Linked DNA regions of Diceros bicornis minor. The protein of the gene in region 1 binds, or shares a complex with, the protein of each later gene. Links are inferred from orthologs where the notes say so. Each region holds a gene or a part of one and is shown on either strand. Other genes may lie near its edges.

Region 1 (11,347 bases):
GGAAAAAAAAAGGAGGAAGCTTGGCAACAAGTGTTAGCTCAGGACCAATCTTCCTCAAAAAAAAAAAAAAGAAGAAGAAGAAGAGGAAGAACTGCCTATCCAAAGACGGATGGAGCTGCCCAGGAAAATGGTGAGCTCTCCATCACCGGAGATGCTCAAGCAAAAGCAGGGATGTTAGAGGTGGAGGCCAGGCATTAGAGAAAGCTTGGAGGGCCTTTCAGGCCATTCCAGACCTGAGATTTTGAGACTCTCTGGAGAAAATGGTTAGGATAAGGCTTCACATATTAAGGCCTGACCTTTATCCTCCCCAAATGGAGTCTAAATATTATGTAATGGGAAGATGGCATGTTCCTTCATTCACAGTTTGTACAAACAATATATAGCAATTCAACTTTTTTTTTGGTGAGGAAGATTGCCCCTGAGCTAATATCTGTTGCCAATCTTCCTCTTTTTGCTTGAGGAAGATTGTTGCTGAGCTAACATTTGTGCCAGTCTTCCTCTATTTTCTATGTGGGACATCGCCACAGCATGCTTGATGAGCAGTGTGTAGGTCTGTGCCTGAGATCCGAACCCGTGAACCCCAGGCCACCGAAGTGCAGCACGCGAACTTAACCACTATGCCACTGGGCCCGCCCCAGCAATTCAACTTTGATATGCAAGAACAAAATGTATTTCTACCTTTAGGAAACTGTTTTTTTCCTAAGACGTGAAAATATGCGTGTGGGTATCTACTGATTGGCTTTGATCAGGCAGGTGTCATCCTGAAAATGCTGGGGGCAGGGTGTGGAGAATGGATACTATAGCCTCATCTGTATGTCCTGCATAGGTTGGGAAAAGGAGCTCACTTCCTGCTTTCTCCAAGGGCTCCCCACAAGGTGTGAGAGCAAGTCGAACAGCACAGAAGGTAGATCTGTGATCACTGAATCAGTGAAAGATTCTTTCTTTCCTTCCATCTTTTTCTATCACTTGATAAACATTAACTGAGCACCTATTATATGACAGGCACTGCATTTTTATTAAAAAGCAAGAAACTATATCCGCCTGGATAGGCACATTTCTATAACATATACACGTGTTTTGTGTAATGCGAGTAGGGTAGGAGTGGCGGGAGAATCGCCTCTTTACCTCTGCAGGGAGATGGCTGGTAATCATGATGTGGTCTAAATAACGTCAATGCAAACTGAGCCCTTGAGTACATTTTTCTTTTCCTGCTGAAAAATAATAAGAATTTATAGCACAAGGAAGCAAACTTCTTTTAAAAACAAACAAAATTCCCCATCCCTTATTTGTAATTACCAGAAGTCTAGAGATCCGACACCTACACTCTTGGCCAGAAAGTCCTTTTTACCTCAGAAAAAAGAGAATCACTGGGAAAAACTGAGAACTCTGAATTTAAGGTAATAATTATAATGACCAGAGAACTTTTTAAGGCTGCACAAAGATAGTGTTATAAGCATATTACTTGGAGTATTATTTATAGGGAAAATAGGAAGCAACCTAAATGCTCAAAGGTAGAGCTTAATTAAATAAATTATGGTACATCCGTATAAAGAATACCAGACAGCCATCATTAATGATGTTTAGAAAAATATTTAAATATATAGGAAGATAGTCAATATAACTTGAATGGAAAATGCAAGTTAAATTAGCATATACTACATGATCCATTTTTGTAAAAAAATACATATGTAGGGGCCAGCCCGGTGGCATGGCAGTTGGGTTCGTGCGCTCAGCTTCGGCACCCTGGGGTTCATAGATTCAGATGCCGGGCGCGGACCTACGCACCGCTTACCAAACCATGCTGTGGCGGCATCCCATATAAAGTGGAGGAAGATGGGCACAGATGTTAGCCCAGGGCCAATCTTCCTCAGCAACAAAGAGGAGGATTGGCAACAGATGTTAGCTCAGAGTTAATCTTCCTCCAAAAAAAAAATACATATGTAAATGGGGGTGTGTGTGTGTATACACATTTATATGTACATATACGTACACACACATGTATAAAGAGAAACAGAGAGAGAGAGAGCTATATACGTATATGATAGAAGAAGAAAGGCTGAAAGGATTATGACCAATGTCAATAGTGGTTGCGGGATTACGGGGATTGTTATTTTTCTCTAATTCTATATTTGCTAAATTTTATAGTAATAAACATACTTTTGTGAAAAAAGAAGTTATTAAAATTATAATATGGCTTTGATATATTGCTAAAAATAAATTAGAGTAAATTTTAAAGTTCATTCTTTAACTTTGCTTACAATACATTAAAATTATTTAAATGATTTTTATTCAGCCAAACAAAAACAAGTCATACTAAAATAGTGAGAAATAAAAATATTATATAGAATTTTGGGTACATTTCTTTTGTGGACAATTTCCTTTCAATCCAACATACAAAGCTATCAATTTTTTAATTCTAAAGGTTAGCAGATATGAATTTCATTCATTCATTCATTCACTCAAGGGGTACTTACTGAGTTTTTACCATGTATAAATGCCTGTCCCCAACTGTTTGGAAGATTAAAGTACGTGTTCCTTGTACTTGAGGTGCTTATGATCTACTTGGAAAGAGATCAAACCTTCCTTAATCATCCAGACCTAAAAATTAGAACAGAGAACAGGGTATTATAGAAAGCCAATGCCAGTGAGGTGAAGGTTATCAAAATTCTACTCATCCTTTAAGGTTCAAAAGGCCCCTCTTTCTGAAGATGCCTCTTGCAGGGCAGTAATTTCTAGAAGTGTTATCCCCATGTGCTGGGGGAGGACTCCGGTTAGCATTCATCACACAGCAACCCTTACTGAGGGCCCAAGTGTGCTTTCCTTGTCCTGACCTTTGCTTCATCCGTCTTGGGTCCTGAGTGGACTTCAAAGCCAAGCTTGTTTTGCGAATCCAGACCATGTTCATCTCCTGAAGGAATGTGGAAAGAGAGGTGTGGAGCTGGAGAACAACACCATCCAGATTAACTACTGTGATGGGTGTGGAAACATGGAGAGAAGGGCTGCCCTCAGCCTGTTGATGAATAGCAGTCACCCCTTATGCTGTCCCTCCCAAACTGGGGCTGAACAGCACCCCATTCTTCCAATCCTTGTTCCTGAGGAGGGGATTGTCAACGAGAATATTTGCAAAGCATCGAAAGCTGCAAGGTATGATGGGAAAAAGTGCTGAACTGGGAGCCCAGAGAACTACCCTAGTTCCAGCTAGCTCTTCCTCTAACTAGCTTCCCTCTGGGCCTCAGTTTCCTCATCTGTCAAATGAAGGGATTAAACTGTTCAACACACAAAGCCTACATATTCCCTATAAATTAGAAATCACAAGGTTCCTGGGATCATATGTTTGAATTATTCCCCAATCATGAGTCATCTGTCAATCTCTGACCTTGCAAACACAAATTCCTCCCCAGTGATGGAAATTAAAACACTCCTTCTCTTGTGGGTAGGTTGTACACACTGAATGCTTGTGCGCAGCACTGTCTGGGAAGTTGAGTCAAAGGAAATGCCTCCTAATTCCTCTCGGGATAGAAATGGAAAACAAGACAGGCTATGACATCTGCTATCATTTCCTCTGTGATTAGACTTAATAATACAAATATCAATATTAAATTATGTGTGCATACTTTTTATTTTCGCCTTTCATGGCTAATCACAGGGAATTCTTTGTTTTTAGCCTTTAGTGCAAGGTAGTGAAGGAAGAACAGGAAAGATGAATGCAGAATTTCAGCACTTTAGAGCTGCAAGTGATTTTAAAGATTAGACGGAACCCTCATCATTCCAATGAGGAAGAAAATCAGGGGTCCAAGACCAGAAACAGCTCACTCCAGTGTTAACTTCCTGAAGTATGTTCTCTCATTTTGCCTCACAGAAACCAACCATAACTGGACAATACCATCACCTACATGCCGGAAAAAACCAAACCAACACAGAAAAAAACCAAAAGCTACTAAAAAAAAAAACACAGTAGCCTAACCTCTTCGAATGTTTCCTGCATTACCACGAGAGGACCCACGCAAGGGGAAGACAGAGTTCATCAGGAAGAACATGTCTGAGACAGGAACAGTTCACCCTCCTAACTGCATCCAGAACCCATTCCTCGTCCCAAGACACAGCTGCGCCATGTGTCCGTCCACTGCTTTCCTGTCCCTCTACAATTGGCAAGCACCAGACCTTTCTAAGGGTAACGCTGCCCTGTAACAAATCAGCCATTTACAGCCACATCATCTATCAAGTAAGTAGGTTTTCATATAGCATTGGATGAATAAAATTCAAATGCTAAAAATCTGTTCTTTCACCAAGAAACATGATTTTATGCTAATTTCTCCTCTCTCTGGTTCCTGATGAATCTAGGCAAGTTACTCAAAAACGTCTCAGTAAAGAAAAAAAAAATTGGTAGTTCCATGAAAACTGTTCATCTAAACTCAGTCAGCATTAAGGATCTAAGTTACTGGCATCACATAAGAACTCATTCCTTGCCAATCCGCTTCACCTCACTATTCAGGTGGAAGAGATATGCCTCACAGCTACACTCTTCCTACCAAGGAAAAACACATGCACTAGCTGTTTTGATGTCTGACCACATTTGATAATATTTTAATCTCCATACACTCCGGACCAGAGTGTCCTAGATGATACAATTAGAATTCGAATGCATAGACTGTTAGAACTGAAAGGGACTCTCAAGAGTATTTCACCATATCTCCTCCCTTTACAACTAAAGAAAAGGAGTTGCAGTGAAACAGACTTGTCCCTCGTCACATGGCTAGACAGCAGCAGTGCCAGATCTAGAGCCATGTCTTCAGTCTTCCTGTCCAGGTTCTTTCCACAGCCCCTGCTGCTTTCCAGCATCAGTGCAGACTTTCTAAACACTCTGGAAGGACTGGATGGAGGCTATTTCTTGGGAGTCAGCCCCTCCCATTCCAGAGATGCCTCGGCTATTCCACTGCATGAATTGTAGATGCAGGAGGTTAACTAAAGCTTGAATGCACAGGGAGTTCCCTCTCTTGCCTCAATGTGTTACATTCTGTCAATCTGGAAGGAGGGCATCAATGCTTACAGTTATCAGTTGCTCCCATAGTAAATTACTGTTCTAATTTATCCAAAATCCATTGTTGCTATGCAATGTGCAGTCAAGAAGGAACATTCTGGTTTTGAATTATGTGAACACTTCAGTCATCTGGTTTATGTCTAAGAATTATTTACGGCTAATTGGCATGCATAGTTTGGGGCAGCAGCCTTCTAACACTGTTTTGATGATTCTGTGACAGAAAATCTGGTTGTGTTCAGCTCCTGCCTCTGACTCCAGGGCTGCCCATCCAAGCAGGCATTAACTGTTGAAGACTAACGGAGGAGCAAGTAGCACGCAGAGGAAAAAGACTGTACCTTGACATTATGGTTATCTGCATTAGAACCCTGCCCCTGCCCATCACTAGCAGGATGACTTGAAGCAGCACACCAGGTTCCTAGCCTCCCTCTCCTCATCTGGAAAATGTTCAATAGATCTGGACTTGATTAATATATACTATATTATTGAGCCAGTATTATAACTTGTAAGGATCAGTTAACTCCAGAAATAAGAATGCAGTAATAATACGGAAAACGTTAAAAACTCCGTGTCTGCGATCCCGCAGGTCTAACTAGGTATAAAACCCTGCTCCGCATTTACTAGTCGTGTAATATTGAGGAAGTTTCCTCACCTTCGAAACTTGGGGAAATATCTTTCGTCTTTTTGTTTTAATCTAGCATGAAGAAGTTCAAATACACTCAAAATAGAAATATTAGAATAATTAACTAAAATGACGTGCCAATCACCGGCTTAAGCCACTTTAAAAAGTTTGCTAATATCGTTTCATCTCTCTTCCTCAACACTTCTTTTTTCCTGAGGTATTTTATAACACATTTGGGCAAGTTGTTTTAAAGATCTCTGTGCTTCAGTTTTCTCATCTAAGAAATGATTATAATATCTAATTCATGGGGTAGAATTCTACTGAGTACTCAATAAATGTTAGCTATTATTATTTATGATGGTACCTATGCGCACCGCTCCCCGCGAGGCGCAGAAACTGTGCAGCGTAGCGCGCCCGGCTCAAGACCGAGGTTATTAACCCAACAGCCTAGAGGAAGCCTCTAGGTCCTGCATCGCTAAGGTCGCGTCCGCCCCCTTCAGGCCGCGCTCCTTCAGAACCGCTCGAGACGGACGAGGTTTGGCCCTCGCAGCCTCCCGTCGCCGCGCGCGAAAACGAGAGGCGGGGACAGGAAATGGGGTTGGGCCGAGTTCCGGGCGCGAGGCGGCGGCTGGGGAGAGCAGAGCGCCGCTCTTGGAAGCCCGTCAGGCAGATCTGCGATGTTCCGGATCGAGGGCCTCGCGCCGAAGCTGGACCCGGAGGAGATGAAACGGAAGATGCGCGAGGACGTGATCTCCTCCATACGGAACTTCCTCATCTACGTGGCCCTGCTGCGAGTCAGTGAGTGTCCTTCCAGCTCTGGCCGTGGGACCCGCTGGGAGCTCGCCGCCTCTGCCCCGCGCTGATCCTGCAGGCCTCTGCGGCCTTGAGCTGAGCGCAGCGGCCGCGGGAAGCAGGGCGGTGCGCGTCGCGGGCGGCGGGTGTGTGCGCGGCTTAGTGCTGCGGGCCTCGGTGGGGCTGCCCACGTGCGCGCGCTGGCCCCGACTGCGCAGCTGATCACCCCGCCCCCCTGCCCTAAGGGCTTAGAGTCGAGAGAGCCTCCAGGGATGTCCCCCAGAGCAGCTCCCGCGTTTCGCATAGGAACAGGTCTAGAGTAGACAAATGGCTGGCTCAAGGTCACTCGGCGGTTCAGTGAATGATCTTGACCTAGAACCCAGAACTCTCAACTCAATCGAGTTTCCTTCCTTCAGTGCTGACCTTTGAAATCCAAAAGGTTTTGCTGCCTTTGTTTATTTGTACAGAGGGTGAAGTAAATAATTGCTTTTTTGGAAAGCATGAGAAGAAAAGTCTGTAGGAGTACTGATGATACCTGAGGGTTTATTTGATTTTAGTTGCATTTCCTAGTCTTGATAGTAGCCCTTTGAGGGAGGCCGGGCCTGAGATTCTGTATATCCCCTTTGTAAGTGAGAACTCGGCTTTCAGAGGAGACTTATGCAAGGTGTCAGAGTTACAGGCACACTGGATATTAGAGCTGGATGCTGCTTTGTAGATAGTTCTCTAGTTGTACTGATAAGAATCTCAGAAGTGATTTGCCCCGCACCTTATTTTCAGTTTAGTATTCTTTTCATTGCTTCTTGCTGTATACTGTTGGCACGTCTGGATGGAGAGTCCGGGATGATTCAAATAAATGAAGGCCATACCAAGGTCATCCTGTAGAAGGCTCATGTTGGGCTAGGCCGGAGCTCCCTGAGGCCCGGTCTCCCTAGCTCCGTGCCTCTTCCACTGTCTGTGGTATTACTCTGCTTCCCCAGGAGAGGGAGCGCTGGTGAACAGAAACTCCCAAATAATCCTGCTCCTTCAGCAGCTTTTTACAACTCCCAAATTCACTTATTTCTTCTTCCTCTTACCGTATTTTGTTGACTTAGCTGCCAGTAAAATATTTAGTTCTTATCAGTGACCCTTGTATTAGATATGAATTGGTTTAAACAAAAACACAGAATACTGTTCATTATTATCACTTTTTAAATTGAGATATAATTAGCATATTAGTATACAATTCACCCATTTAAAGTATACAATTCAGTGGTTCTTAGTATAGTCAGAGTTGTGCAGCCATCACCACAATCTTTTTAGAACATTTCTTTCCCCCTGAAAGAAACACAATACCCATTAGCTGTCATTCTCCATTTTCCCCCTTCTCCAGCCCTTGGCAACCTCTAATCTCTTTGCCTTTGTGGGTTTCCCTATTATGGACATTTCATATGAATGGAATTGTACAATATGAGACCTTTTGTGTCTGGCTTATTTCACTTAGCATAATGTTTTCAAGGTTCATGTGTATTGTATCATGTATCAATATTTCCTTCCTTTTATTGCTGAATAATATTCCATTGTATGGATATACCCCATTTTGTTTATCTATTCATTTGATGGATGTTCCTTTTTTCTCTGATAAGAATTAGTGGAAAGACTGGACATGACTTTGTCAGCTTCCAGCAGATCTCAATATCTTCAGTTTAATATTAATAAAATGTTTTATTAATTATGTGTATTGAGAAAGAAGATCATTCTGGCAGCTTTTTTGGTCACAGCCCTTTTGTTTCCAATTTTTTTTTCTATTGTGGTAAAATACACAACATAAAATTTACCATCTTAACTATTTTTAAGTGTACAGTGTAGTGGTAGTAAATACATTCATAATATACAACCATCACCCACCATCCATCTCCAGAACTCTTTTCATCTTGTAAAACTGAAACTCTATACCCATTAAACAATAACTCTCCATTCCCCCATCCTCCCAGTCCCTGGCAACCACCATTCTACTTTCTGTCTCTGTGATTTTGACCACTCTAAATATCTCATAAGTGGAATCATACAGTATTTGTCTTTTTGTAACTGACTTATTTTGCTTAGCATAATGTCCTAAGATTCGTCCACGTTGTAACATATGTCAGAATCTCCTTCCTTTTGAAGGCTGAATGCTACTATTGTATACCTCAGTTTTGCTTATTCATTCATTCGTCTTTGGACACTTGGGTTGCTTCTTTGAGCTACTGTGAATAATGCTGCTATGAACATGGATGTACAAATACCTCTATTTTTAATTTTTTGAGGAACCACCATACTGTGTTTCATAGCAGTTATACATTCCCACCAACAGTATGCAAAGGTTCCAATTTCTCTGCATCCTTGCCAACAGTTTTTTTGATGCTAGCCATCCTAGTGGATGTGAGGTGGTATCTCATTGTAGTTTTAATTTGCATTGCTCTAATGATTAATGATGTTGAGTATCTTTTTATATGCTTATTTTGGCCGCACTTTTACACAGGCTACAGTAATATCACTTCTTCAGATCCCTATGACAACACTTCATAGTTTTCTAGACATTTGTGTCTACACCATCCTGATGGACTCTTATAACAACTGAAGTTGGACTGTGTCATATGTGATACATAGGTGATCAGTGGGAGAATCAAAATGTGTGTCCTGCTCTTCTGGTTCCCTAGTTCAGTGTTGTTTTCCTGCATCCTCTGCCTTCTTTCAAATGTATTTTTAAAGGTGAAAAATGCCAATTTGTTTTTTCTACAGTTTTGTTCCTTTGACAGTTAAATCACCAAAGTAAAGGACTGTCATTTGAAAGATTTAAATTGGATTTACTCTTTATGGCCCTGGGAGGTAGAACTACCTGGAGAAAAGTAAAATCTTTTGTAAAAATGAACCTTATAATAATCATAGCTGCCTGACACTGGAATGGGCCCCCTTGACAGAATGAGTCCCTTTTGCTGGGTTATGCAGCCGGAGTCTTGGCCATCACTTGGAGTTGTTTTCAAAAATGTGTTGAACTAAACCTGTAGGGTTTACCCCCCAATCTTATAATTCCATAATGTAACTTGTGGGCTAACAGATCTGAAAACAAATTCTGGGTTTATTTATTTTTCTTTCAGCTCCTTTCATCTTAAAGAAATTGGACAGCATGTGAAGATTGGGCATCACATGTGAATGCATGATATGAAGAACCTGCTGATGGTTTCTACTGCTATCTGCAAATGAATAGTTCCAGAAAGATGTGAGAGCCTCTTTGGACATAAAAATTCTACTAGTTAAGAACAAGTTTGGCTCTAGTAACTGACCTTCATACCGAAATATAAAACTGTTTGGGAAGTTTGAAATGACGTTTTATGGTCATAGTATACCCTTATGCCTGTGATATTCAGCGTCCATGAATGTTGGTGTAATTGTAAATAATGTCAAACTCCATTTTCTAGCAAGTATTAATTATAAGGGAATTATGTCTGCAATGGCACTGTCTTGTCAGTCATTTCTGTTTACCTTTTTACTTCTGTCTGGAGTATATTTGTTGAAGAGTTCTTATGATTAGTTAGGTTTTATGGAAGCCAGCACACAACCACGGTGACATTTAAGCACAAGACCGTTAGTCTATATTTTTAATAAACATGCCAATTAAGAAAAATTGGGTTTTTATTTTTCTTAACCCACCTTTTCCTGCAAAGCAGCAATCACTAGTGAGACTACTATAATGCTGGGATTATTACAAACTGCGTTCAATTGAGTTCCTCTTGTTTTGGGCTGGAGAATTTGCTAATCCCGATAAAGCAACATTGTTTTATTCTTAAGCAGTCTTTGTGAAAGGCAACGTTACTGCTTGATGCTGAGAATATGTAATACTGCTAAAGGGGAAAATGCTATATTTTTAAGTCAGATAGTTCTCCAGGTTTATTGGGGAATGGGGACAGTCCTTAACCTTCTTCCCAGAGACAACTACCTTCACCTCTTATTAGCTAATTATAGGTATTCACCTGCATGTCTCTAAATAACATGATTTTATTGTTACCGTATGATTTTTCCGTTTTAGACATTGCCCACTGAATTCTCCATGCATGTAAGGGTTTAGATGTCTTTCCTCTCCTTGCCTCCATCACTCACACATCTCTTCTGATTTCTTCTTCCTTCCAGTGTACTTGTTAGTGTGATTTTGATTTAGATCGATTTCATTAGGGCTCCAAATGCTGTTTGTGTTTTCTTTTCCTGTATGTCCTTTGTTTTTTCTAGGCTTAGTTTTCTATGAACTTACCACCAAAGCAGCTAAACTTTTTGCCATTTATCTAAATTGATCACGATGTTCAGTTTCATTAGATATGATGTTTCATCTTGCTGAGTAATTCTTTCTGGAGCTTTCTGACCTGCCCTAGTCTAGTCTTGTAGTCTTCTCTGCCTGATGTATGACTATATTCTGGGATCTCCCTTCACCAGGATCCTGGGAATTCCTTTTCCTTTTCTCCCATGTTAGATCTCTTGTTTTCTGTATCTTGTGTCCAGTATGCATATGTTCACTGAACCTCTGTAGTGAGTACAGTACCCCTGCCAGTAACTGCCTGGCATCCCACAATCCAGTGAATCCTCGATTTTACCCTTTTTGGAAAATGAACTTCTAATTTTAGGAGGGAGCTGGGGAAGACAGGCTGCTGAGCTCTGTAGAGTTGCAGAGAGCATCTGACTACTTAAAACTTCACCCAGTTCTTATTTTAGTGTCTACCCCTTCACCTCCTGTTTCCAAAGATATGTGAAGCCACCACTTCCTGAGACTTTTAGGGATTCTGTGATGTAAATTGGGTTGTTGTTTGTTTTGCTTTTCCTACTGCTGACTCAGGATTCAGTTTTCTTGGGGCTGCCATTTTATTTACTACTTGTCCATCTGCTTTTCAACGTCT
Region 2 (12,312 bases), on another chromosome or scaffold:
ATACAATCTCCTGAAATTAGATGCTTTCATTACCAGGAATTTCAAGTCAAAGCTTGGCACTCAATGTCCATATTAAAAAGTACTGGATTATGTAAGGAAGTAACACTGGATATAAAATTAGGAGTCCTGGCATCCAGTTCTGGCTGTCATTTACTAAATGATTAACACTAAGGAAGACAGTTAACTTTTCTGGGTCTCAGTTTCCTCAACTGTAATAACAAAACCTACCTGTCGTGGAGGATTAAATCGGAATGACAATGTGAAAGCTTTGCACATTTTCATGTGCTCTACACAAAAGGAAAGCATTATTAAAACAATATACATAAAATATGAATGGGGAATATGTATGAGTAGCTATTTTTAATCCTGAGTGACACTGATTAATGACACCTCAGGACCCACCCACTGCCATCCATCAGCCCAGAGATTGAGAGCCAGAGTATATAGATGTCAAGGAATTCTCAAGACGCAAAACCAAAAAGATCACACTGTGAGACCAGAATTGGGCTAGATGACACCACTGGTGGAGCTTACACTGTTCACTCCATCACCAGACATTTACGCTTCTACATTCTGGGGTGGCCTGGACATACAGTTCAGGTGAGAAAACAGAACCAGCCATTAATGGGACTTATTTGGGGCCAGGTACATATTACAAGATTATGGTACTTCAAAGCATCATGCTGGTTCAATTAGTCATGTGCCACATAACAACGTTTCAGTCAACACATATATGACAGACCACATATACGATGGTGGTCCCACAAGATTAGTACCATATAGCCTAGGCATGCAGTAGGCTATACCATCTAGGTTTGTGTAAGTACACTCGATGATGTTCGCACAACGATAAAACCAGCTAACGATACATTTCTCAGAACGTATCCTTGTCGCTACGTGACACATGACTGCACTTACATTAAATGGAAACAAAAACATGCTTTATCTAATCCAGCTCCTATACATGCTTCATGATCTTAAACCTAATTCCATAAAGCTTTCCTTAACCCTGTCCACAATAAGCCTTTCTTTTCCAAGAAAGATTTTGATTTATCAAACAACCTAGTACTAGATATACTTCTTTGATTGTTCCCCAGTTTAAAGTTTATTTTATCTCTCCAACCAGCAAGTAAGGTTTTTAAACACAAGGATTGAGTGTTTTTTTCTTTTGGAAGGCCTTTTGTGTTTCAATAGATTACACAACAAGTGTTTACAAGGCATCTCAACAGGTCAAGAGTGGGAACACAAAAAACAATCACTAAGTCACTGCTCTGTAGCCTGTTACCTTTAGCAAATGTCACTCAATCACACTGAATATTCAGGCTTCCTTTCAGATCAAATAAACCAAATGACAGATGTGACCAATATAAAACCCCAGAAATCCAAGTCTAGGCATTAAGAAACGACAACATGATTAATTTTAATAAATACCAGCTATATACACTAAAGGAATTAACAACTACAGCAAGAATTTATCAAAATAACAAATATTCAATATGCACACTATACCCATCCTCAAAAAAAAAACTTAGACAAAGAAAAAAAACTACACAAAATTACTTTACTCTCTTTGAGGGCATTTGTTAGGCAGAATCAAGACATGCAAATACCAAAATATTACCTCTTTAAAAATACTCAAATGAGGACTCTCTAAATTCACAAAATACATGGGGAAATCTTCCCCAAGGATGGCTGCTAGAATCTGACCATTATATAAACGATTGGTACACTCAAATTAAGAGTTATTGAATATTTTTATGCCCAGAACTCTTAATGGTTTTAATAGGCATTAAAAGAAAGGGTTACCAAAAAATCCAACAGGCTCCCTGCCATCAAGCTTGTAATTTTACTGAGTAAACAGAGTCCCACATGGCCAGTGTCTTTCCCGAATTCCTTGTGCATACATAGTAAACCACAAGAAAATCAGAAATCATATCCAGGGCCAGCCCCGTGGCTTAGCGGTTAAGTGCGCGCGCTCCGCTACTGGCGGCCCGGGTTCGGGTCCCGGACGCGCAGCAACGCACTGCTTCTCCGGCCATGCTGAGGCCGCGTCCCACATACAGCAACTAGAAGGATGTGCAACTATGACATACAACTATCTACTGGGGCTTTGGGGAAAAAAAAGGAGGAGGATTGGCAATAGATGTTAGCTCAGAGCCGGTGTTCCTCAGCAAAAAGAGGAGGATTACCATGGATGTTAGCTCAGGGCTGATCTTCCTCACAAAAAAAAAAAAAGAAAGAAAGAAAGAAAGAAAAAAAGAAATCATATCCAAAGCCAAAATAAATCAAGTTACATGCAAATCCCTTAAAACAAAATTAACTTCTGCCTCTTCTTTAAGATAAAATGGGTAGACATCTTTCAGTTATGACTATTTTATAGGTTGAATACTACATAAAGGCTCATCAGAACTTATGAAATATCTAACACTCACCACGCCACTGCATGACTTTGTTTTCACATCCAGCTTCACCAACCCAAAACCTTAAAGAAGAGAGCAAAAGATAACAAAATGATTCTTTCACATGAAAGATGCAAACCAAGAGCTGACTACACACATAAAAAAGTAGTCAGCTCTTGGTTGAGCTGACTCAAAAAAGATTTCACATATTCAGAAGGGGATAAAAATGTATGTTGATACACAGTATTAAAATGAAAAAATTTTAAATTATTCTATGCAAACTGACAGGTAAAGGACAGAACCACTCTACGCAGCTTTGCATAGTGTTTTGGTGTATATATGGCACCAAAAAAAAAATGCTTTCAAACCATTTTAAAACCTAAATACCAGATCAGAGAATCAATTCAACTTAAATCTCAGAATAGCCAATAGTTTATTATAATACAAACATTTAGAACATTTATCCCAAAGGGATATCTCTCTTTGGGATTAAAAAATCTAAATAATTGGGGAAATAATCTAAAGGGCGGGAGTGGAAAAAAATCTTCAAGACAACCCAAATTCAATGACAAAGCACATAACCCATTAGGAGTCACCACCACAAAAGCAAAATACAGTAATATATCCTAATTCTAGTCAACCACGGCATAAGCTATAACTGAAGGAAATGAAAACACAGTTGTTTTTTTTCCTAAAGATAAAATCCTTAAACTAGAGTTTGAAAAAATTGGAGGAAACTGGGGTAGAAGGGGATGTGGATTGTTACAAAACTATTTTAACAGAAATTTTATCTAAAATTTATCTAAAAGAAGAATACAATAAAATATTTACAATTTTAATTACTAATTTAATTTCCCTAAGAAATCCAAACACATTTTCACTTCTGATCTAAAATTTTTTTAAAAAGTTCTTACCAAATCCTTTGTTGAAAATATCTCTGGCAGCTTTGCCAAGGTCAGCGTATGAGGGAGGAACACACATTGCTGGTGGGAAGAAACATTCCAGTGTTAATGTTGCAGTTCTCCCACTTTCTGTCCAAGAACTAGATTATGACCCACTGCTATCTTTAAATTCAAGCAGTCTAACCTGTTGAAGATGTGTTTTTGACACCACCAGGAGCTACAATAAAACTGTATTCTAATGATCCACGAAGGACATATCACCAACAAAGGCTTATTTCTAAAATGGATAACCACAGTAAGTGGCTATACGAACTCGGGAAATTCTCTACAAAATAGAAAAACAGACTTCCTATTCCTAACTATACACAGTGCCTACAGCCTCAACGCCTAGGACTGGACTAGTACAAAGATGCAAACATATACACACATATATATCTATACATACAGATATATCCGCCAAAATTCACTGGAACGGGCTGATTTACCCAAACGAGATGAAATCAAAACCTAACACAAGGCCCTCTCCCCCAATATATCCCTTAGTATCCTCACTGAGGTCAAAACCAACATTCTGGAGTGGGAAGAGAAAGCTAATTTACACTATGGGAATTTAAATATTGAAACTTAGGGAAAAAAGGGCCATCTATGTTTCACTCAAGTGTCTACATCAACTAACTATCCAACGGCACTTTAAACATACTAATATGACACTCAAGTCCTCGGCCAATGCTGTGTGGCTTAAGGGCAAGCAATCTGATCTACTTACACTAGCTCATTCATTCTACAAAGCACGTCCACGCCCTTAGGAGCACATGTAATGACCTTGCGCTCTCTCAGAGGAGTTACTACTTCCTCTAGAAAAGTGACTGATCCAATCCTCCAAAGGCTGAATCCAACAAATAACTTTCTGCTTTTGAGTTGGTCAAAGACACGTCCAAAAACTGAAAGTGAATGCAGCCACAGACCAACTCCCCTGGCCTAGGCCTCTTATCCGAAATCCAGCAGCCCAGCCCCTCCTCCGCAGAGACGGGGGGAGTCAGGACCGAGGAGTGGCTACCGAAAGGGGCGAATGTCCAAGTCCTTGGAGAGATGGGGGGAAAGAAGCTGCGGTTTTCTGGTCCACAGGCTTCGACTCCCCGGACACCGCCACCCCAGCCCGCAGAGATCCCTTCTCCACTTACGCCGCGGGCAGCTCTGTCCGTAGGTCGTCATGGCGAGGCCGCGGGAAGAAGTGATCTGCCGGAGAGAAAATAAGTGCGGTCAGCGGGGGTGAGGGGCGGGTCAAGAGGCCAGAAAGGGGTCTCAAACAGAGAAAGGCGAGGGGCCGCGGGGCAGCGCGGCCATCTTAGGGAGCCAGGGCCGACCCCGAGTCCGGCTCAAGCCTCCTGCTTAGCCGCCGAGGCCTAGACTCCCAGGTCGGAGTGAGGCGGGCGCGGCGGTACCTGCTGGTCTCCTGAGAAGAACCGCCGCCGCCGCTCCGTTCGCAGCTAAGACCGCTCGGCTCGCTCGGGGTCGCGCTGCAGCTGCCGCGGCTGGAGGGCGAAGTGAAGGAGACACCGTTCCGCCCGCCGCAACCCTATCCTCCCCCCGCCAGGACCCCGCCGCTGCCCCCGGGGCTGTCCGCCGCGCCTGTCTCCGCAGCGCCACCCGCTGCCCACTCCAACCCGCTCCGGAACGGCCTCGTGGGCCGAGAGCACCTCCGCCCCCGGAGTGGACCGCCTCCGTCCGTCGGCGGGGGCCGGAAAGGCAGAAGCTGCTGGACCTCGGGTCAGGCAACGATGAGGGCAGCCCCAGAGGCGAGGGGGCGGGGAACGGCAGAGGCAACGCGGCGGGGATGGCACGGGCGGGGGATGGGGCGGAGGCCCCGCGCGCGCTCGTCACGGGCGGGCGGGGCGTCAGGCGCGTGCCCGCGCGGAGCCCTGCGAGGCTGGGCGTGGCTGCGCACCCCGCAAGTCACGTACATCTCTCGACTATGTTTCTCGACTGTGGTTCTCTGAAGCTGCCGAGGCCGTCTGCCATATAGATCGTCTGGAAGGAAGTAGCTGAGCCTTACTCCCGTTTACCCTAGGCAAGTGCGACGTGCGCTTCTGAAAGACCGTCTCTCTGTCCAGGCCCAGGGAGAAACGAGTGGGGCACAGGGTCACCACTTCCAGTCCCTCGCGCCCTCCCTTCCTTCGTCTGTTTCCCGCGGCGGTGTAATCGCCATGCTGAGCGGGACTCCGCCTGAGAGGCTCTGTTGGCCTCGGCATGCCGGTCCCTGAACAAACGTGAGCACATCTCAAGGTGCCCCGCCCCTCCCATCCCACCCTCCGTCCGTGCTTAGGGTTCCTCTTCTGCCGCCTTCTGCCCGCTTAGGGATGGAACTGCTTTGCACATGCACAGAACCCACGCTGTCTTGGTGAGTCAAGCCTGCTAGAAAATTTAGGAATCATGCTGACCAGGCATTAGAATGCTGCACTCAAGTTCCTGGGTGTACAGGAAGAGGGAGCCAAGGGAACAGAAAAAAAGCCTAACGAGCTAGAAATGGGGTCACTCGAGGCTCCGGAATCAATCGCCCATCTTAGCAATTTATCCCCTTTGTACCCCAGTTTCCTTATCTATAAAATGACAGGTTTAAATCAAATGAAGTGGTCTTTAATAGCCATCAGCCACAGACTATGAGCAAAGACTTTTTCCCCCTGATTTCCTCTGGCTCTGAAAGCCACCTCTGGTCAAATGCTGCCAAGGTTCCACCCTTCTCCTGTACCAGGAAAAGCATAGCTAGATAGGCTTCCACAATCCAAAACCGGATTAAAGCTGCAGCCTGATAGATATCCCTCCCATGAGCAAACCCAGCCAGCAATCTTGCCTGGTCATGGTTGGGATTACTCATGTAAAGGGTTAGAAGAAGAGAGGAGTCTTTGCTCCTAACAGTTCAGGCACCAAAAGCACTGATTAATTCTTTCATTCAAGCTCAGACAGGTTGGTCTGAAATCAGCTTTGCTCCACTGGGAGCTGGTCTGCTCTGGCTCTGTTTGATGCTGTTGTGAGGCTAATAGCAGAGACTGACTTCCCATTCCAACTGCAGCATAACACACCACCTCCCAGAAGAACCTAGTCTCTGCTCAGTCACTTCCATTACCTGCAGTAAGGCTTATTCACATTGTGAACTATCTGTAGCATTTTTAACCTCCAGAAAATTTCACTTTGTACAGAACACTGATCTGAGGCTTCACCCTCTACAAACCCAAGGAATGTACACAATACCTAATAACCAGGAGAAGAAACACGGCAATTTACTTCAAAGTTGGATTCAGTAAATGTATCTGAGTGCTTACCTCCAAAGCCCTTTAGACCAAAGCAGCATTAGTAGCAGCCACCACTTACAGAGCAACTACCTTGTGTCACCCACAGGGAAAGCAAAGTCCATTCAGACGCAGCTCCTGCTCTCAAGCACTTAAAGTCATGTGTATATAGGTGTCAAGAACTGTGAAGGGTCTAAGATTTTACCCTACTTACAAGCTAGCAAGTTAGCTTGCCATAGGTTCATAAGTTTATAGATGCTGGCTGAAGACATGAGACTCGAAGGTCAGAGACAAAAGACTTCGTTACTTGTGGCACAGCAGGCAGCATAAGCTTAATGGTGGAATCAGTTCCACTTGCCTTCTACGTCCCACAGGAGTGATGCAGAGCACCTAGGTAGAAGCTGTGCACACCATGTATTTATGTCACAGTTCAGGAATCCTGACCTTAGGAAACCCCCTGCTTATAAGGAGCTGCTAAAAAACCTGCCCAACCTTTGCCCCAGAGGGAGACATTACAGTGTACTTCTCAGGAAATTAAATCTTGCCTCTGCCCTAGAAGGAGACACTACCTCTATTTCCAAAGGCTGTTTGCTATGCAAACATCCTTGTAAAAGTATATTGCCACAGAGGACTGTGGGCACAGTCAGGCTGAGGAGACGCTTGCACTAAAGTTTCAAAGTAGGACTTATCAAAATTAAAAAGCCCTAAGGTCAAAGATGGAAACGCAAAATTCTAGAAAGAGGTATGTGCAAAGCCATATGGGGGCTTGAAGTGACAAGAATCATTTGGAAACCACAAGTAAGTAAAGCTGGAAAAACCTGTAGAAAAAGTTGAGAGATTAGTGTAAAGATGTTGGCTGGAGCTAAATACTGAAGGTCCTAAAAACAGTGAATGAGGAGGAGTCTAGGGTGGCTGGGAGCAACATTTCTGGCTTGAGCAACTGGGAGGACAAAGGTTCTACTCACTGTCGGAAGGGCTACAGGAAGAGGGACAGGTGTGAGAGTAAAGAGGATGATTCAATTTCGGATAAGTATGAGGAGCCAGGGGCCACATCTAAATGGAGTTGTCCAGTAGGCAATTATGAAGCCTAGGAGAAAGGTCTGGGTAAGAGGCTAAAAGAAAACTCAGGAGGGAGTGTTTTCCTGGAAGCCAAAGGGGAGAGCAGTGGGGAGGAAGGAGCACTCAACAGTGTCACATCCTGAGGAGCACTCAAGTGAGGTAAAGACAGAGTATTAGTTACTATTACTGTGTAACAAATTACCCCAAAACTTAGTAGCTTAAAACAACAAACATTTTATTATCTGGAAGCTTCTGTGGGTCAGAAATTAGGGAATGGCTTAGTTGGGTGGTTCTGGCTCAGGGCCTCTCATGAGGTTGCAGTCAAGATGTTGGCTGGGGCTACAGTCTTTTAAAGGCTTGACTGTGCTGAAGGATCCACCTCCAAGATGGCTCCCTCATGTGGCTATTGGGAAGAGGCCTCAGGTCCTCATCATGTGGATCTCTCCATAGGGCTGCTTGAGTGTCCTCATGACACGGCAGCTGCTTCTCCCAGAGCAAGTGATTCGAGAGAGAGAGAGAGAGAGAGAGAGACTGAAGGCGCAATGTCTTATATGATCCAGCCTCAGGAATCACACTGTCATTTCTGCCTTATTCTCTTTGTTAGAAGTCAGTTACTAAGACTAGTCCACACTCAAGGGAAGAGCAATTAGGCTCCACCTTTTGAAAGGAGTGTCAAAGGATTTGTGGACATATTTTAAATCACCACAGTCGATCCTCTGGTCACATTATTTCTATTTCTCCTAAACAGAAAATACACTGATTCCCTCCCAAGACTTCCCCAAAACCTCCAGCCTTTATAGCATCAGCAAGAGGCCTCTCAGGTGTAGTTCCTTAAGTGCAGCAACTCCAGTACAGTTCCTCTTGATTTGAAGACCTATGAAGTAAAGAGAGAAGCTGTCTGCCCCCTACACACACATCTAACACACACAGAGTGGGATAGGCACAGGATAACTGCTAAAGACACCCCTGGTCAAAAAGAGGGAAACAGGAGATACACAGGAGTCCACAACAGTTCTGAAATCCAGCCAGACAAATTTTGAAGATGCCTTTATTAGGACTCAGTCCTACTCCTGTCTGTGCCAGATGAGGTCACATGGGGAGAGCCAGCTCTAGATACACATTCCTTCTCTTCCTGCCCCAGGCTCTGTCCTTCAGTGTGAGGAATACACCCCAGCCCACACATCCAAGCTCCATCCCGCCTCACATACATATGCTCCTTGACTATCCCATGGGCTTAGGGGTGTGTCACTGGCAGTTCAATCCATGCTCAGAAGAAAGGGCTCTGGAGAAGTCCATGCAGGCCCCAGAATGAGGCTCAGGACTGTTTCAACTGGGAAGACTGAGATCTTCTGTATCCAGAGTTTGGTCCAGATAAGGAAAGGGTGGGCATGGGCTTTGGTGGGCATGTTCCCTTGGCCCTGCAGACTCCTCACCCCATAGGAAAAGGCACAATGTGAGAAGGGTTAGAGTGAGTCACTCTAAAGTATGAGGCCCAGGGTGGGGGCCCCTCTTGCCCAGGTCTAATATTAGGGTTAGGGACTGGGAATCTTCATGCAATGGAAACAAACATTGAGATGAGAAGAGAGAGTGAGAGAAAGAAAGAAGACTGTAAGCTGTGGTTACGGTTAGAATGCGGGACGTTGGGATGTAAGATTTAGCAGCGGAGCATTCTGGGTCGTGGAAGTGAAGTTCACTGGAGTTGAGATGGTCAAGGATGATGGGTGAGGCTTAGTTGTTGGAGGCATCTGCCCCACACATATCCAATGCACAATGGTGGGATAGGCTCAGGTTGTTGGCAGGGAAACTGAAGTCACCAGGATGTTGCCAGGATAAGAGGTAGAGAGGAAAACTATGAGTTAAGTGCCAAAGTCCTCAGGGAGCATGGGAAACTGGTTATAAAGGATGACAAGTAGAGGATGGTAGAACTGATGGCATGAACCTCAAAGGAGGTGATTTTATAGGAGGGTGGAGGAGTGAAGAAAGTGGCCACCCGTCCCATGCCCAGGTCCAGCCCTAGGGTTGGGGAGGGCGTGGGAGAATGAGCAGTATTCCCTGGGACCCAATATCCAGGGGAAAAGGTAGTTTTATGAGGAGAGTGAAAGAGCATTCAGTGGTGAAGCTGAGGACTTAGGGTAGTTTGTTTACAATAGAACAATGTTCTAGAGGGCACTGTGGGATGGGGTGGCAGGGAGGGCAGCAGTGGGAGGACAGACGAGGAAGCAGGAAGCACAGACAGGACTGGGATGAAAACTAAGGCCAGGGACTTAAAAAATTTTGGGGAGTTAGGACCTACAGTTGAGGGTGAGGGGCATCCTAGGATTAACTGAGCTTGAAAGTCAAGCCAGTACCTGTGAAAAATCACTGAAATTGCACAAAAAGGACAGTGTGCCTGGTTTTGTGCATACAACTTTGGGCTGTCATTCATAGACACACTAAAGCATGAAAACCACTGATCTAGACTGTCTATCAAATCCCAGCAGTGACTAGGGGAAAGGAGGAGCATTCTATAGCTTTCCAGATTACATGCAGCGTGGACTCCATTTTGATTTAGTATTTAATATAAGATGTGATGATTAAAGCAAGGGGTGGAGTTACAGCTTAACAGTCAGGACACAAATTAAGTGCAAGCTTCATGCAGTTTCTGTCAATTGATATTCCAGTGTAGTGATTCTGGGTTGATGTAGAGACTGATATAAAGCTGTTTATTATCCAGTCAGCAACCTGTGGTCTTGCTCAGAGTTCCAATCTTGCTCAGAGTTCCAATTACACTGGTGAACCCTGTGTGTATTGTTCACACTGATGTTACAGTGATGATTGCAAAAGCTCACACCTTCCTCTATGGAAAAGCTTAGCCCAAAGTAACAGGGAAAAGGCACAGAGAATCCTGCTTCAGAGACTTCAGTGGCTCCCCTTTACCTATAGGATAAGGTCCCTGATATAAGGAAGATGGACCATGGTCCTACTCTGCCTTCCATCAGTCATGGTTCCCACCAGCCACGTGTGCTAATTCAGGTCACAGACTGTTCCCAAATCATGGTGTTTTTAGTGTCATTGCCTTTGTTTACGCTTCTTGTTCCACCTAGAATGCTTCCTTGTTCCCACTGCTTTGAGTTAAACCACCTGAATCCTTTTAAAGCCGAACTCAAATGTATTCTCACCACACCACAGTTTTTTCTCTGACTTACCAGCTACAGGTTCATTTTACTTTCTCTAAATTTCTATGGCATTTGTTACTTTACGGCATTTATTACATATTTTCCCATTATTTTATTATGAAAATTTTCAAGCATACAGAATAGTTGAAAGAATTGTATAATGAACACCTATATATCTACTACCTAGATTCCACAACTACCATTTTGCTGTATTTACTTTATCCCATGTCTATCCATTTATCCATTCATCAATTCCTCTTACCTTTTTTATACATTTCAAAGTCAGTTGCAGACATCAGTACACTTCACCCCTAAAGACTTCAGCATGCATATCATTACCTAGAGTTCAATATTTGTTTACAGTTCTTTTGTTTCAAAGTAAAATTTACCTCCATATCATGTTTTCAAAAAAATACTTGTACCTTCTGTCTTCCCAATCACACTCTTTTTTTTTTTTTTTGTGAGGAAGATCAGCCTTGAGCTAACATCCATGCCAATCCTCCTTTTTTTTTTTTGGCTGAGGAACACTGGCCCTGGGCTAACATCGGTGTCCATTTTCCTCCATCTTTATATGGGATGCCGCCACAGCATGGCCTGACAAGCGGTGCATCGGTGTGCGCCCGGGCGCCAGCAGTGGAGCGCGCGCACTTAACCGCTGTGCCGGGGCTGGCTCCATGATCAAACTCTTTAATGGTGAGAACGATTTCTTATACAACTTTATCCCCACCCACTGACCCATCCAATATCTAATAGTGATGACATTAGTAATGATAAACACACTCAAAATAATCAGGGCTAACATGTATCAGGCACTTGCTTTGTGCCAGGCATTGCTCTAAATATTTAGTATGCTTTATTTGATTCTTATATAATATACTATAAAGATACTTGTTATACCTGTTATAGATAAGAAATATGAGCTTACAGAGGTGAGGTAACTGGCCCAGGATGCATAGCTAGTTCTGTAAGTGGTGGAGACAAAACTGAAACCCAGCTCTGTCTGAGTCTGGATCATATGCTCTTAACCACCATTCACATTGCCTCCCCATTGTCCAAGCCTTACCCATTGAGGGTGACTAATCATATTTATGGAACATTCAAAGAGTCCACTGCTTTGGACCATCCTTGTCATGGCCCATTAGCAGAGATAGTTGGCTTAAAAAACTTTCCCTGGTAAATTTGTTTTTTGTTTTTTTTTTTTAAAGATTTTATTTATTTTATTTTTCCCCCAAAGCCCCAGCAGATAGTTGTCTGTCATAGCTGCACATCCTTCTAGTTGCCGTATGTGGGACGCGGCCTCAGCATGGCCAGAGGAGCGGTGCGTCGGTGCGCACCCGGGATCCGAACCCGGGCCGCCGGCAGCACAGCGCGCGCACTTAACCGCCAAGCCACGGGGCCGGCCCTCCCTGGTAAATTTGTGATGAGGGTGTGAGCCTCCACAATGAAGGTACATGGGGGATAGGGAAGCTGGCTTCTCCACAGACTTGTCACTGGGTCAGCACTGAGAATGTCT

The links.
Region 2: the proteins of TOMM5 (region 1) and VDAC2 are in contact, whole or in part, in a cryo-EM structure (PDB 9EII), measured with the Homo sapiens proteins. The link is inferred for Diceros bicornis minor from reciprocal best matches to the Homo sapiens genes TOMM5 and VDAC2. Residues at the interface, in NP_001001790.1 of Homo sapiens: Ile25, Arg29, Leu32, Ile33, Ala36, Arg39, Val40, Phe43, Ile44, Lys47; in NP_001171752.1 of Homo sapiens: Val38, Thr60, Gly63, Asp239, Tyr258, Gln260, Thr261, Leu262, Leu268, Leu270, Val286, Leu288.

The regions. Positions count from the first base shown.
Region 1 is NC_080767.1:6,384,502-6,395,848, forward strand, and holds TOMM5 (mitochondrial import receptor subunit TOM5 homolog), read left to right. Parts: upstream 1-6,271; 5' UTR 6,272-6,334; coding exon 6,335-6,455; intron 6,456-9,562; coding exon 9,563-9,597; 3' UTR 9,598-10,079; downstream 10,080-11,347.
Region 2 is NC_080745.1:31,597,142-31,609,453, forward strand, and holds the start of VDAC2 (voltage-dependent anion-selective channel protein 2), read right to left. Parts: upstream 4,853-12,312; 5' UTR 4,744-4,852; intron 4,538-4,743; 5' UTR 4,514-4,537; coding exon 4,483-4,513; intron 3,383-4,482; coding exon 3,314-3,382; intron 2,483-3,313; coding exon 2,433-2,482; intron 1-2,432. UniProt on the Homo sapiens protein: Non-selective voltage-gated ion channel that mediates the transport of anions and cations through the mitochondrion outer membrane and plasma membrane.